Macaca fascicularis: one gene and its partners. The protein of the gene in region 3 purifies or fractionates together with the protein of the main gene of each other region. This does not show direct contact. Links are inferred from orthologs where the notes say so. Each region holds a gene or a part of one and is shown on either strand. Other genes may lie near its edges.

What was found.
Region 1: the proteins of DPF2 (region 3) and SMARCD2 purify together in Homo sapiens (affinity purification with mass spectrometry; 6 studies listed by BioGRID and IntAct, counting the BioPlex papers as one, with this or other methods). This does not show direct contact. The link is inferred for Macaca fascicularis from reciprocal best matches to the Homo sapiens genes DPF2 and SMARCD2.
Region 2: the proteins of DPF2 (region 3) and SMARCD1 purify together in Homo sapiens (affinity purification with mass spectrometry; 9 studies listed by BioGRID and IntAct, counting the BioPlex papers as one, with this or other methods). This does not show direct contact. The link is inferred for Macaca fascicularis from reciprocal best matches to the Homo sapiens genes DPF2 and SMARCD1.

What each region holds. Positions count from the first base shown.
Region 1 is NC_088390.1:70,343,041-70,346,688, forward strand, and holds part of SMARCD2 (SWI/SNF-related matrix-associated actin-dependent regulator of chromatin subfamily D member 2), read right to left. Parts: intron 2,597-3,648; exon of another isoform or gene 2,550-2,596; coding exon of another isoform or gene 2,478-2,549; intron 1,551-2,477; coding exon 1,366-1,550; intron 1,163-1,365; coding exon 1,120-1,162; intron 973-1,119; coding exon 850-972; intron 1-849. UniProt on the Homo sapiens protein: Involved in transcriptional activation and repression of select genes by chromatin remodeling (alteration of DNA-nucleosome topology).
Region 2 is NC_088385.1:56,919,123-56,922,770, reverse strand, and holds part of SMARCD1 (SWI/SNF-related matrix-associated actin-dependent regulator of chromatin subfamily D member 1), read right to left. Parts: intron 3,348-3,648; coding exon 3,231-3,347; intron 2,003-3,230; exon of another isoform or gene 1,959-2,002; coding exon 1,857-1,958; intron 1,601-1,856; coding exon 1,439-1,600; intron 1,349-1,438; coding exon 1,251-1,348; intron 1-1,250. UniProt on the Homo sapiens protein: Involved in transcriptional activation and repression of select genes by chromatin remodeling (alteration of DNA-nucleosome topology).
Region 3 is NC_088388.1:9,036,132-9,039,779, forward strand, and holds part of DPF2 (zinc finger protein ubi-d4), read right to left. Parts: intron 842-3,648; coding exon 681-841; intron 258-680; coding exon 150-257; intron 1-149. UniProt on the Homo sapiens protein: Plays an active role in transcriptional regulation by binding modified histones H3 and H4. Is a negative regulator of myeloid differentiation of hematopoietic progenitor cells. Might also have a role in the development and maturation of lymphoid cells.

The sequences.
Region 1 (3,648 bases), on a different chromosome or scaffold from region 3:
TTATGGGGAAAGAGATGCATCACCAACAACGCCAGCACAGTGGAACTGGTGCAATGGCAACGCGGAGGCCTCTGGCTCACATCTTACATGATACCCAAACACCCATCACGGCCCCAAAATATCCTAGTCTCCTGGAAAGCCTTCCCCACTCAGGACGGTTCTAGATTATTATTAAGGAAAGTTTCTCGGCTGGGTGCAGTGGCTCTGTCATCTTAGCACTTTGGGAGGCCGAGGCAGTCAGGAGTTCGAGACCAGCCTGGGCACCATGGTGATACTAAAAATACAAAAATTAGCCAGGCGTGGTGATGGGCGTCTGTAATGCTAGTTACTCGGGAGGCTGAGGCAAGGAGAATTGCTTGAACCTGGGATGTGAAGGTTGCAGTGAGCCGAGATTGTACCACTGCACTCCAGCCTGAGTGAAAGAGCGAGACTCCATCTCAAAAAGAAAAAAGAAAATATTCTCTATGGATGGGGAAGGGGAAGGAGAAAGGAACTACCTTTATCCTCTAGTGGTTTTCAAACTTTTGAGACCACGACCCATAATATTTACATTTTTCAGTTATGACCCAAGGTCTGCATATCTATTTATCGGAAACAAAAATATCATGAAAGAATACCTTAACTACTATGGTAAGTACTACTGTGAAGTATTTTTAGATTTTCTACTGTCATATATTAATTTAAAACATACTGGCCCTAACACATTCAACTGAGTTCGTACTCTACTAGTGGGCTGCATCCTGCATGTGAAAAACCCAGCTCTAGCCCAACTTGCTTGGCCCCTGGAAAACAAGGGGGTGGAGGGCAAGGAAACCTGGGAAGGCTAGAGGTGGTCAAGGTCACACATACTGTCAGAGGCTTTTTAATGGCCTCCTGGATCTCCATCCGCTTGCGAGCAATGGTCTGGTCCAGCTTCCGCTCAAAAGCCAAGAGATCCATGTATGCCTGAGACTCTGGGACAAGCTCCCGGATCTGGAGGAAGGTAGCAGAAGCTCATCAGCTTGCTTCAGCCAAAGCCTGGCTCTTTCCTCCCTTCCTGCAGCCCAGGGTTGAGGGAGACGGATGCCCACCCCGAGGTGGCCACTGGGCAGGCCTCCCAGGCGTCCTCTTAACACTTACTCGCTGAGGTAGAACTTTATCTGCCATCTTCCTCCTCTTTAACCTGGGGAGTTCAGAAACCCACTTAAGAGATCAATGGTCCAAAAAAGGACACTCACCCCCGCAACGTCCCTCCAGTCTCCAGGACCCTCTCTCCCAAGAGAGCCTGGAATCTTCCTCAGACACCAAAGCTCTTAAGATAGAAGGAAACCCTCTGCTACCACCAGAGATGAGTGAGGCAGAGTGGAATAAGCAGGATGCTCTTACCCCCGGCGCTGGGCAGGCATGGGAGGCTGCGCCTGGGGCACAAGCAGGCGTTTTCGGAATGGATCCATCATGGTGGGTGGCATGCCAGGTCGAAGCGGAGCTGCTGCACCAAATGGGGAGCCAGCAGGGGGTCCCACCTGCAAGCCGGCCATGGGCATCCGGTTCCCTGGTGACATGCCAGGTCGCTGGGGGAAGTGAGCCAACGGGGGTGCATAGGTCAGGGGCAGGGCCCTCCAGGGCCCATAGCCTATGCCCTCCATCCCTCTCGTCAGCCAGGTTGGGCCTGAGCACCACGCCAGAGCCCTGCTGGAGCCCCAGGAACAAAGGAGAGCGGGCGTCGGAGCGAAGAGGGTAAACCATACCTGCCCTGCCCCCTGCAACCACCCTGGCAGCCATGCCAGCGAATGAGGTCTGCCAGAGCCTGGGCTGGGAGGAGGGTCCTGCCTGCAGAGGGAAGGGCCTACAGGAGCCCCACCCAGTCCCTATTCTCTCAGACAGTCCCGCCAAGCCTTGCCCTCCTCTTTCCCCCATCATGAGGGAGAAGCATGGCTGAGAGGCACGGGGGCAGTGTCACTGCCAGGCAGAGGGGTATACTATATCATGAGCAGGCCAATGGTGCAGAGCCCCAATCCCCATCCTCTGTGGCCGAGGGAGAAAGGGGTCTGGTAGGCAGCAGCACCCCAGGTGAGCAGGGCTACAACAGGATGACTTGGAACGCGTACCAGCTGGTGAGGGCGGCCTCGGACAGGGTACCGGGACCCTGTCCCCTGTACTCTGGTACCATATAGCCCCTACCCACAGCCCAGAACTGGACCCTCCTCTCACCTCCTTACTGCCCAACTACTGCCCCTATGCCAAAAGACCCCAGAAGGGAAGCCATGGCTCCTGGGTGGCCTGTGGGAAAGACAGCAGCTGGCACCTGGACTCTGCCCGTGGTCCAGGCACCACCTGGCAGCCAGGACTGGCTCTGGCTCCGTGTAGCCCTGGCAATCCCAAGCTGAAGAAGGGGGCTAAGATTATCCTGGGAGGCAAGGATCAGAGGCCTAGGCTGAGCAGCAGGAAAGTGGAAGATAGAAATAGCTTCTTTAGATGCCTGCAGAAGGATTTCCCACTTGAAGCCTTGCTCCCCGACATTTCTGTGGAGCCCATCTGGGAGTCACCTCCACCCCCACCCCCCTCCCCATGGCTGCTGCCTGCAAGGCCTGTTTGGCAGCTCTGCCTCGCACACACTGTCCCTGGCAGCTTCACAGGGCTGGCCCCAGGGCCCAGATTATGCAACGAGCACAACCAGCCAACCAAGCCCGGCAGGGTGGAGACTTGTACCAAATCAAAGGACCCTCCCCCACTCCAGCATCATGGAGATGAGATTCTTCCCCAACCTCTTCATCCTGCACTAAACCCATGTTCCCAAAACAGAGGGTCAGATTCTTGACCAGATGCAGAGATGGAAAGAAACATGACCCACAGACGTGAGGATGGGGAGAGGAGGAGCAGGGTGGGAGGGAGGTGTTTGGGAGAATAAAAACCTCAAAGTGGGGGGCTCTGGGGCTTTGGGAGTCCTGCCAAAGTCTCTCTCCATCAGGAAGAGATTAATCAGAGCTGTTGAAAGGCAAAAGACAACCTCTTTCTCTGCCTTAAGGATTGTTCTTTCTCTGGCCTGAGATTATAGAAAAAAACTGAGTGTGACTACAGCTGTAAGCCCGGGCCCAGACATCCCAGACTTTAGTTTTTCCTAGTGCCTGAGACAAAGGGAAGAACTGAAGCACTGGGTCCTGCAGAGTGTGAGCGAGGGCCCTATGGTCCCCAGGAAGCTTCCCGCTGCAGCGTTCACAGAACCTGCAGCACCACCCATCCCTCCTGGGCAGGTGCTCTGGTAACAGGAAGTCCTAAGACAAGGCTGCACAGGCAGGGCCTGGAATAGGCTCCACCTAGACATCTGCTCCAGGCTTCCCGGGCCCAGAGCCCCCAGCTCACTCAGGACCCCAGGGGAAGGCTGCTAACAGTTCAAATTCTAGCTGAGCTTTGCTAAGCTCCATACCTGGGCTTATAGGTGCTAGCAACTCCTCCCCCTTCAAAAAACAAAAAACAAAAACAACTCAGGAGTTAGGAAAAACAAACAAAAAACAGTCCAGAACTCTGAGCCTCCCTAACTCCCTGCTTGCAACAGGATCAGGTAGGCCTGGATCAATCCCCTGAACCCCAGATGAGGAATCCAGGGCTCCAGTGAGCATGCTTTGCCCTGCCCCAAATGTGGCCCTGATGCTCTGGAACCTGGGCCTGAGG
Region 2 (3,648 bases), on a different chromosome or scaffold from region 3:
GGCAAAGAGACTATATCCAACTACAGAGCCATGCTTCTTTGAGAAGGAATTTTCTTCACTTCCTATCTGCCTAGAGATGCCTTGCTCTCCATCCTCTAAACAAAAAAGTGAATAGAAGTAATGGAATTGGAGGCTCAGAATAGAATGCTGTACCATCCAGAGAAAAGATGGCCACTGAGCTCTTCCATCAGTGAAGAGCTGGTAAATGTTTAACAACTGATCTTCCAAAGGAGAGCAGGAGGAAGTGCCCAGATACGTGCATTTGCTGATCTTTGGGCTTTAAATAATCTGATTTCGGCCGGGCTCAGTGGCTGACACCTGTAATCCCAGCACTTTGGGAGGCCAAGGCGGGCAGATCACCTGAGGTCAGGAGTTTGACATCAGCCTGGCAAACATCGTGAAATCCCATCACTACTAAAAACATAAAAAAATTAGCTGGGCATGGTGGCAGGTGCCCGTAATCCCAGCTACATGGGAGGCTGCGGTAGAAGAATCGCTTGAACTCGGGAGGTGGAGGTTTCAGTGAGCCGAGATCATGACACTGCACACCAGCCTGGGCAACAAGAGCGAAACTCCATCTCAAAACAAAACAAAACAAAAGGCTGGGCACAGCGGCTCAGGCCTGTAATCCCAGCACTTTGGGAGGCCAAGGCGGGCGGATCACCCGAGGTCAGGAGTTCAACACCAGCCTGACCAACATGAAGAAACCCCATCTCTACTAAAAATACAAAATTAGCCAGGCATGGTGACACATGCCTGTAATCCCAGCTATGTGGGAGGCTGCAGCAGAAGAATCACTTGAACCCAGTAAGCAGAGGTTGCGGTGAGCCAAGATTGCGCCACTGCACTCCAGCATAGGTAACAAGAATGAAACTTCATCTCAAAAAAAAAAAAAAAATTCTGATTTCAAGCTACCAACATTACATTACTGTTCATGAGAAGAGATGCACAATAACATATAAGCACATCATATCATTATATCATATTTCCACCAGATGTATACAACAGGCAAAAATAACCTCAAGAGCACAAATACAATAAAATGTAATAATGAGAAAGTAATACATTTTGAGTATATGTTACCCACTTTTAGACTAATATATTTAATTATAAGTTTATGTAATTTAATTGTAAAGTAACAGCTGTGTTTAACAACCTATTTGCAAAATTCCTGAAAATTTGACAACTAGCTTGTGCAAACTGGTACAAGGCAGCTCCGGCACAGCACTGCCTCCCACACACAGGCCTACCTGATGACATGATTAATGATAATAGGTTCTGGTGGCATAAGCAAGGCATGGAGCCGCTGCGGGATCTCTGAAAACTTCATACGTTGAGACTCAAAGATCTGTGGCAAAGGAGAGAAGCACGAGCTTAGCATTTTGAGTGTAGCTAGTGTTCTAATGGATTCTAGCAAAAGAATGGGTCCATTACTTACCTGCTGCAGGTACTTGTCACAGATGACAAACTCCCGCTCATGAGGGTCCTGGAGCTTATGTGTCTTAATATATTGCCACAGTGCTTGGATGATCACTGGACGAGTCTGGGTGTGGATGCCCAAGAGCCGAGCTAGGCGGGGGTCTAATTTAAACTGGGGAGGCTGCAGGGAACCAAAGGGTATAGGGGATGAAGCTAGTTAGCTGGGTCTATATGCAGCAATACATTCAAACTATTCAACAACAATGTAGTGCTTTTTCTGGGACAGAAACATTCTAGGAAGAACTCAGAGATGACTAAGACTCTATCTCTGTGACAAAGTGGCAAATTATTCACAACTAGACATAAACCCTTTAAAGTGAGCTCGCTGACAGGATATGGCTGTAAAAGCTGGACCCCCTCACACCACCACAGAATACCTGGTAATCCAGCATCAGTAGGACAGTACACCGTACATTCACATCTCCCGGCCGCTTCACCTGAAAGCCATCGGTCTCCTGGGTAGTGGCGGTCCTGTGCCACTACAGAGAGGAAGATGTCAGGGGGTGCTCTCCCAGAGGAAGAGCTGGGGTGGGAGGGAAGAGCTTCTGTAATGACTGAATATTCAACTTTGATTACTGAGGCTACTGGAGAAGAGCAATAGCATGAGGCATTTTAAAAAACTGCATATGGCTCTGGGATTACTGTCTGTGTATAAGTAGATTAACCTTTTAATTCTGTTTGTGGTTGCATTTAAATAAGCCTGAATGTCCAGTGATAATTCTATCCACAAAATGGATAATACACATGTGAACAGTAACATAACATAGCTATCATTTACTGAGTACTTAACTACGTGTGAGAGTATTCTAAGACATTTGCCTGGATTATCTCACTTCCCAAACATCTATACAAGATAGGCACAATTATACTTATTTTACAGGTGAGAAAACGATGCTCAGCAGAATAGAGTAACTTGCCTAGGTCAAACAGCCAATAAGTGGCGGAGCCACCATTTGAGCTCTGGTGTGTTTGATTCTATAGTCCACATTCTTAGCCACTATACTCTACTGCTATAAAATTAAATTAATATATTTACAAGTTTCTATTGATTCTATGACTTACTTCCCTTATTAGATGGTAAAGACCTTCCCATGTCTCTTAGTAGTTGAGGTTAAGGGGCTGCAGCTACACTGGCAAAGAAAGGAGCAGGTTAAGTTCACTTGGCGTGCTGGCTGGACTGTCATTCTGGTTTTGCCTGTATCCCAAAGAATACTGTTGCTAACATGGGCTTCAAAATGGTGTGCAATCAGGCATCATAATAAAGGATTTTTGCTGAATTGGAATGTAAATGTAAATGGAGCACAGACCAAGAGGAAGTCCCAGATCTGTAATGGTAACCTTGGCAAGTACTGGTACCCTATCAGTCAATCCCTCTAATTACAGCAACTGCTACCAGGAAAAAGTATGATTGGTGCATGGGTAACTACATCTCACCATTATTAACAAGCAAGATGCAGAGATGGCATGGCACGTACGAGAGGCCACCAGTAGACTTTCCCTTGAAAGAGGTGGCAGTGACCAGGATAGTAACATTAAAAAGATGGGACAAGTTAGATTACAAGAGCCCTTGGTCCTAACTAAACATGCTAGTGCCATCTAGAGGTCAACGTGCAAACTGTACACCTGGAGTGGTACTGTGTACACCTAGAGTGACCACTTTATACCTCCCCCTCTCCTTAGACATTAAAACATGGCTCCCAAGTCCATCATCCTCTAATCAGAGTCAAAGCCTAGAAGGCAGAACTACTCACTTCTACCAGATGGTTGTCGGGCCCATACAGGTCTTTGTCCAGTTCAATCACCAAGGACTTAAAAAAGGAAGAGAACTTCCTCTTTTGTTTAGTGGCATCATATTTGGACAAGGCTGACTAGAGGAGAGAAAAGAAAAATCATGTTACGAAAGGCCAGAAGAAACTTCCCAAGACAAAATCCTATGAAAAAGGAACCCCAACACAATGAGAAAAAACTCAAAAAATATTTTCTGAATATCTCTTAGGAGAGATAGGCAAAGTAGGCAGCTGCAGGTATTAAACCAGTCACGGTAACAACAGAACCCTGAAGAAGCAGCCTAGAACACATACAGGGTCAGTTTTACCCACCTCATTTGCCCAAGGGAAATGAGGCAAGTTAAGCAAACCATTGCATATAACTAAGCGAGTTTGAGCAGAG
Region 3 (3,648 bases):
CTTCTAGACTAAGCTCTTTAAAGGAAAGAATCACATCATATTCACTTGAGTATATTTGGGATCTAGTACTGGGCCTGGTATATCGTAGTGATTAGCAGGCTCTAACCATGCAGCAGGCCACGCCTCTGCGCAGGAAGTATGTGCCTTACCTGGCTTAATAGATGGGAAGGAAAGTCGTGGATCCTCAGGCGGATGGGCTCGCCGCTTTTTCCGCCAGCGCCGGGCAGGGTAGGAGTACAGCTGTCCAGAGGCCAATCCTACGGCAGGAAGAAAGATAGAAGTCAGGCCCTAACCCAGTATTAGAAAATAATACCAAACACTTTCTAATTACGTAGTCTCCCCCTTTTGAGTTCTAGAGCAAGGGAGGAATTCTGACAGTGAGGGCCTAGGGGGTTAGATGGAACAGTCTGTGGAAAAGAAAAATAGATATATAAGCTTAGGGGCCTTGGCTAATACATAGTTCTCCAGACACACAATGGCCTCAGCAGGGTAGAAAACAAAGATGCTGGTATCAACCTATCTGCTTCATCCTCCCTGCGTTTCTAACCACAGGAAGACCATATTCATCCATAGGTGGAAGGCAGTAGGGAAAACCCTATCAACTGTCTCATCACCTAAGATGAGGAGGCTTCTTCCTCCTTATGCTCCTGAGTCCCCTTCTCCCAAGTCTGGACCCTCACCTGGACCCCGGTGTCGCTTTTCCATCCAGATGTAACAATTGCTCTGGGCTACTCCGGTCTGTGAGTCCAAGAAAGGCAGGCGCACGCTGCGCTCAGCACAGAGGCGAGCGTTGTAATTGTGGCACTGCTCCATGGCATCTTTGTAGTACTGCTCCCCAAGGCTGCAGAGAAGATAGAAACCAGGCGTGTGTGTTGGAGTGAGGAGCATAGGGTGCTGAGCTATTCCTCTCCCCTGTCATCTGCTTCTCTAGAAGGCTCAAGGGACTGGGAGGCTGTCTCTTCCATTCTATTTGCCTCCACTTCTGCCTCACGGGACACCAAGCCCCTTTTCTAGGCCACCATTAGGAATTACTTTACGAATAAATTACTATCAGGAACACATGATTTCATCATATGTCTAATCAGACTTAAGTCTAACCCCCAAAGAGGGTAAGGAACTAATGTTCACTCCATGTGTCTCACAAGCCCAGCCCTGTGCTAGTTAAGATGTTGTTTCTCTTAACCCTTATGACGCTGAGAAGCAAACAATAGTCCCCCCTAAGTTCCTCCTTATTTCCTCCTTCCTAGAATCACCTCCCAAATAAACTACATGCTCCCACATCCTTGCCCCAAGGTCTGCTCCAGAGGGAAAGAGTTCAAGGTCTAGGGGGCTTATTAAAATGTATTCAGCAAACTAGTAAATCCATACAATGAAATTCTATTTAGCCATAAGAAGGAAGCTCTTCACATACTGATATTAAAGAATTTCAAGTTAACTAGGGACAAAAAGCAAAGCAAGGTACACTGCTGAGAAGTGTCAAAGAAAGCTATCATTTATGTAACAAAATGGAAAAGAAACTGCAGGTCAGCAGGGAGAAAAAGTGGGTGACTAGGCCATTTCCTTCCATATGCCTTTTTATAGCTTTTGAATTTTGAACTAGGTTTTTAATCAACTAATTAATTTTACATTTATGGAAGATATCTACAAGTACCTGAAGTTCCTTGAAGTTTTTATTGAGCGCCATCACTGATAAGAAACTTGTTTGCTCTAAGGCCCATCTTAGGGTGCTTCTCTATTCTTACAAAATAAAATTATATAGGAAAAAATCTCCTTGGTCTCAAAAGACTCAATTTGAAATCTGAATCAAGGGTAAACCTTTAAGTGGAAAACTGGAAAACTGCACAGTGCCAGGTTCTAAGAAGCATGTACGTAGAACCTATCTTGTTCTCATCTTGCAGGGTTTAACCAGGACTTTGGTAATGGAGGTTAAACAAACTCTATCAGTTCATATTTATATTCAATCAATCTATGTTGCCCAAGCTAGACACAAACTCCTGGCTTAAGTGATCCTCCTACCTTAGCCTCCCAAGTATCTGGGAATAGAGGCATGTGTCACAGTACCTGGTGTCAATCAATCTTAAACCAAAGGCAGAACTGATTTCTTTCTCATAGTATCTCCAATACTCACGAAGATGTCTGAGATACAGTCAGACCTGACTTGAGAGTAAAAAGACCTGGCTGGCCTGCAAGTCACCACATGAACATGGACATTTAGTCAACCCAGGTGGACCTTGGCTATTCTTCTATAGATTGAGGAGGTTGGACCAAATGAGCTTTGACATATCAGGATTTTACAAGAAACAGCCTGGGGATGAAACAGCAAACAGATTAAGTCTCTGTGGTTTCTGTCCATAACTCGGGCTACACCAAAAAATCCTGATCTGGAATGTGATGGGGGCCTTCAGCGAGCAGCCACGATAGACCACTGCATAACTTACCATGTGCCCAGCAAGTAAAAAAGACATATAGCACACACAGAGATGGCAACGCCACAAATACGGCCTGGTATGATTCAATGAGCTGTAATGACTGTAATCTGAGGTAGGCACGAATCTCACGTTGGAGAGCAGAATGGAGAAAGCAGCCTCGCCTCTGCGAGCTCGCCTTTAGGAGGCAGCCACGTCTTCACCACACAGAATAAAACTGGATAAACAAGGCTGAGTGCCGCAGCTCCTTTGTTTCTGCTGATGGGAATTGATACTGACACTGGAAGTCAAATGGAAGGCAGGGCCAGGCTGGCGAGGGCTGCAAAGTCAGAGCAAGGAGGCTGGAAACAGTATTGGGAGGAATGAATGAAAGATGTTCTGTCAGGGCTCTTGTGAGCTACGTGGGATCTCAAAAGGTAAAGCAAACAGTCTTGGGGATACAAGGGCTGGGAATGAAACATGGAAGTGTTTGTGAGGGGAGAATCTGATGAAGAGAGAACAGGACAGGATGAGGGTGAGCTCTTAAGAACTTAAGGGAGGCTGGGCACAGTGGCTCATGCTCCATCACTTTGGGAGGCCAAGGCCGGTGGATCTCTTGAGACCAAGACTTAGAGACCAGCTTGGGCAACATAGTCAGATCCCATCTCTACAAAACGTTAAAAATAAATAAACCATCAGCTAGGTTTGGTGGTGCAGGCCTGTGGTCCCACGTAGTCCCTGGGGTGGATGAGGTAGGGGAATCATTTGAGCCTAGGAAGTTGAGGGTGCAGTAAACCAAGGTTATACCACTGCACTTCAGCCTGGGGGACAGAGGGAGGCTCTGTCTCTTAAAACAAAACAAAACAAAACAACAACAACAAAAACTTAAGGCTCCAGTACCAAGAAATGTCAAGTTAACATTAACACTGTTCTCTCTCTCTCTCTCTATATATATACATATATATCTTTTCGAGACAAGAGTCTTGCTTTGCCGCCCAGGCTGGAGTGCAGTGGCGCAATCTCGGCTCACTGCAGCTTCTGCCTCCTGGGTTCCAACGATTCTCTTGCCTCAGGCTCCCGAGTGGCGTGCGCCACCATGCCCAGTTAATTTTTGTATTCTTAGTAGAGACAGGGTTTCACCATGTTGGCCAAGCTGGTCTCAAACTCCTGACCTCATGATCCGCCCACCTCGGCCTCCCAAAGTTCTGGGATTATAGGCGTGAGCCACCGGCCCAGCTTCATT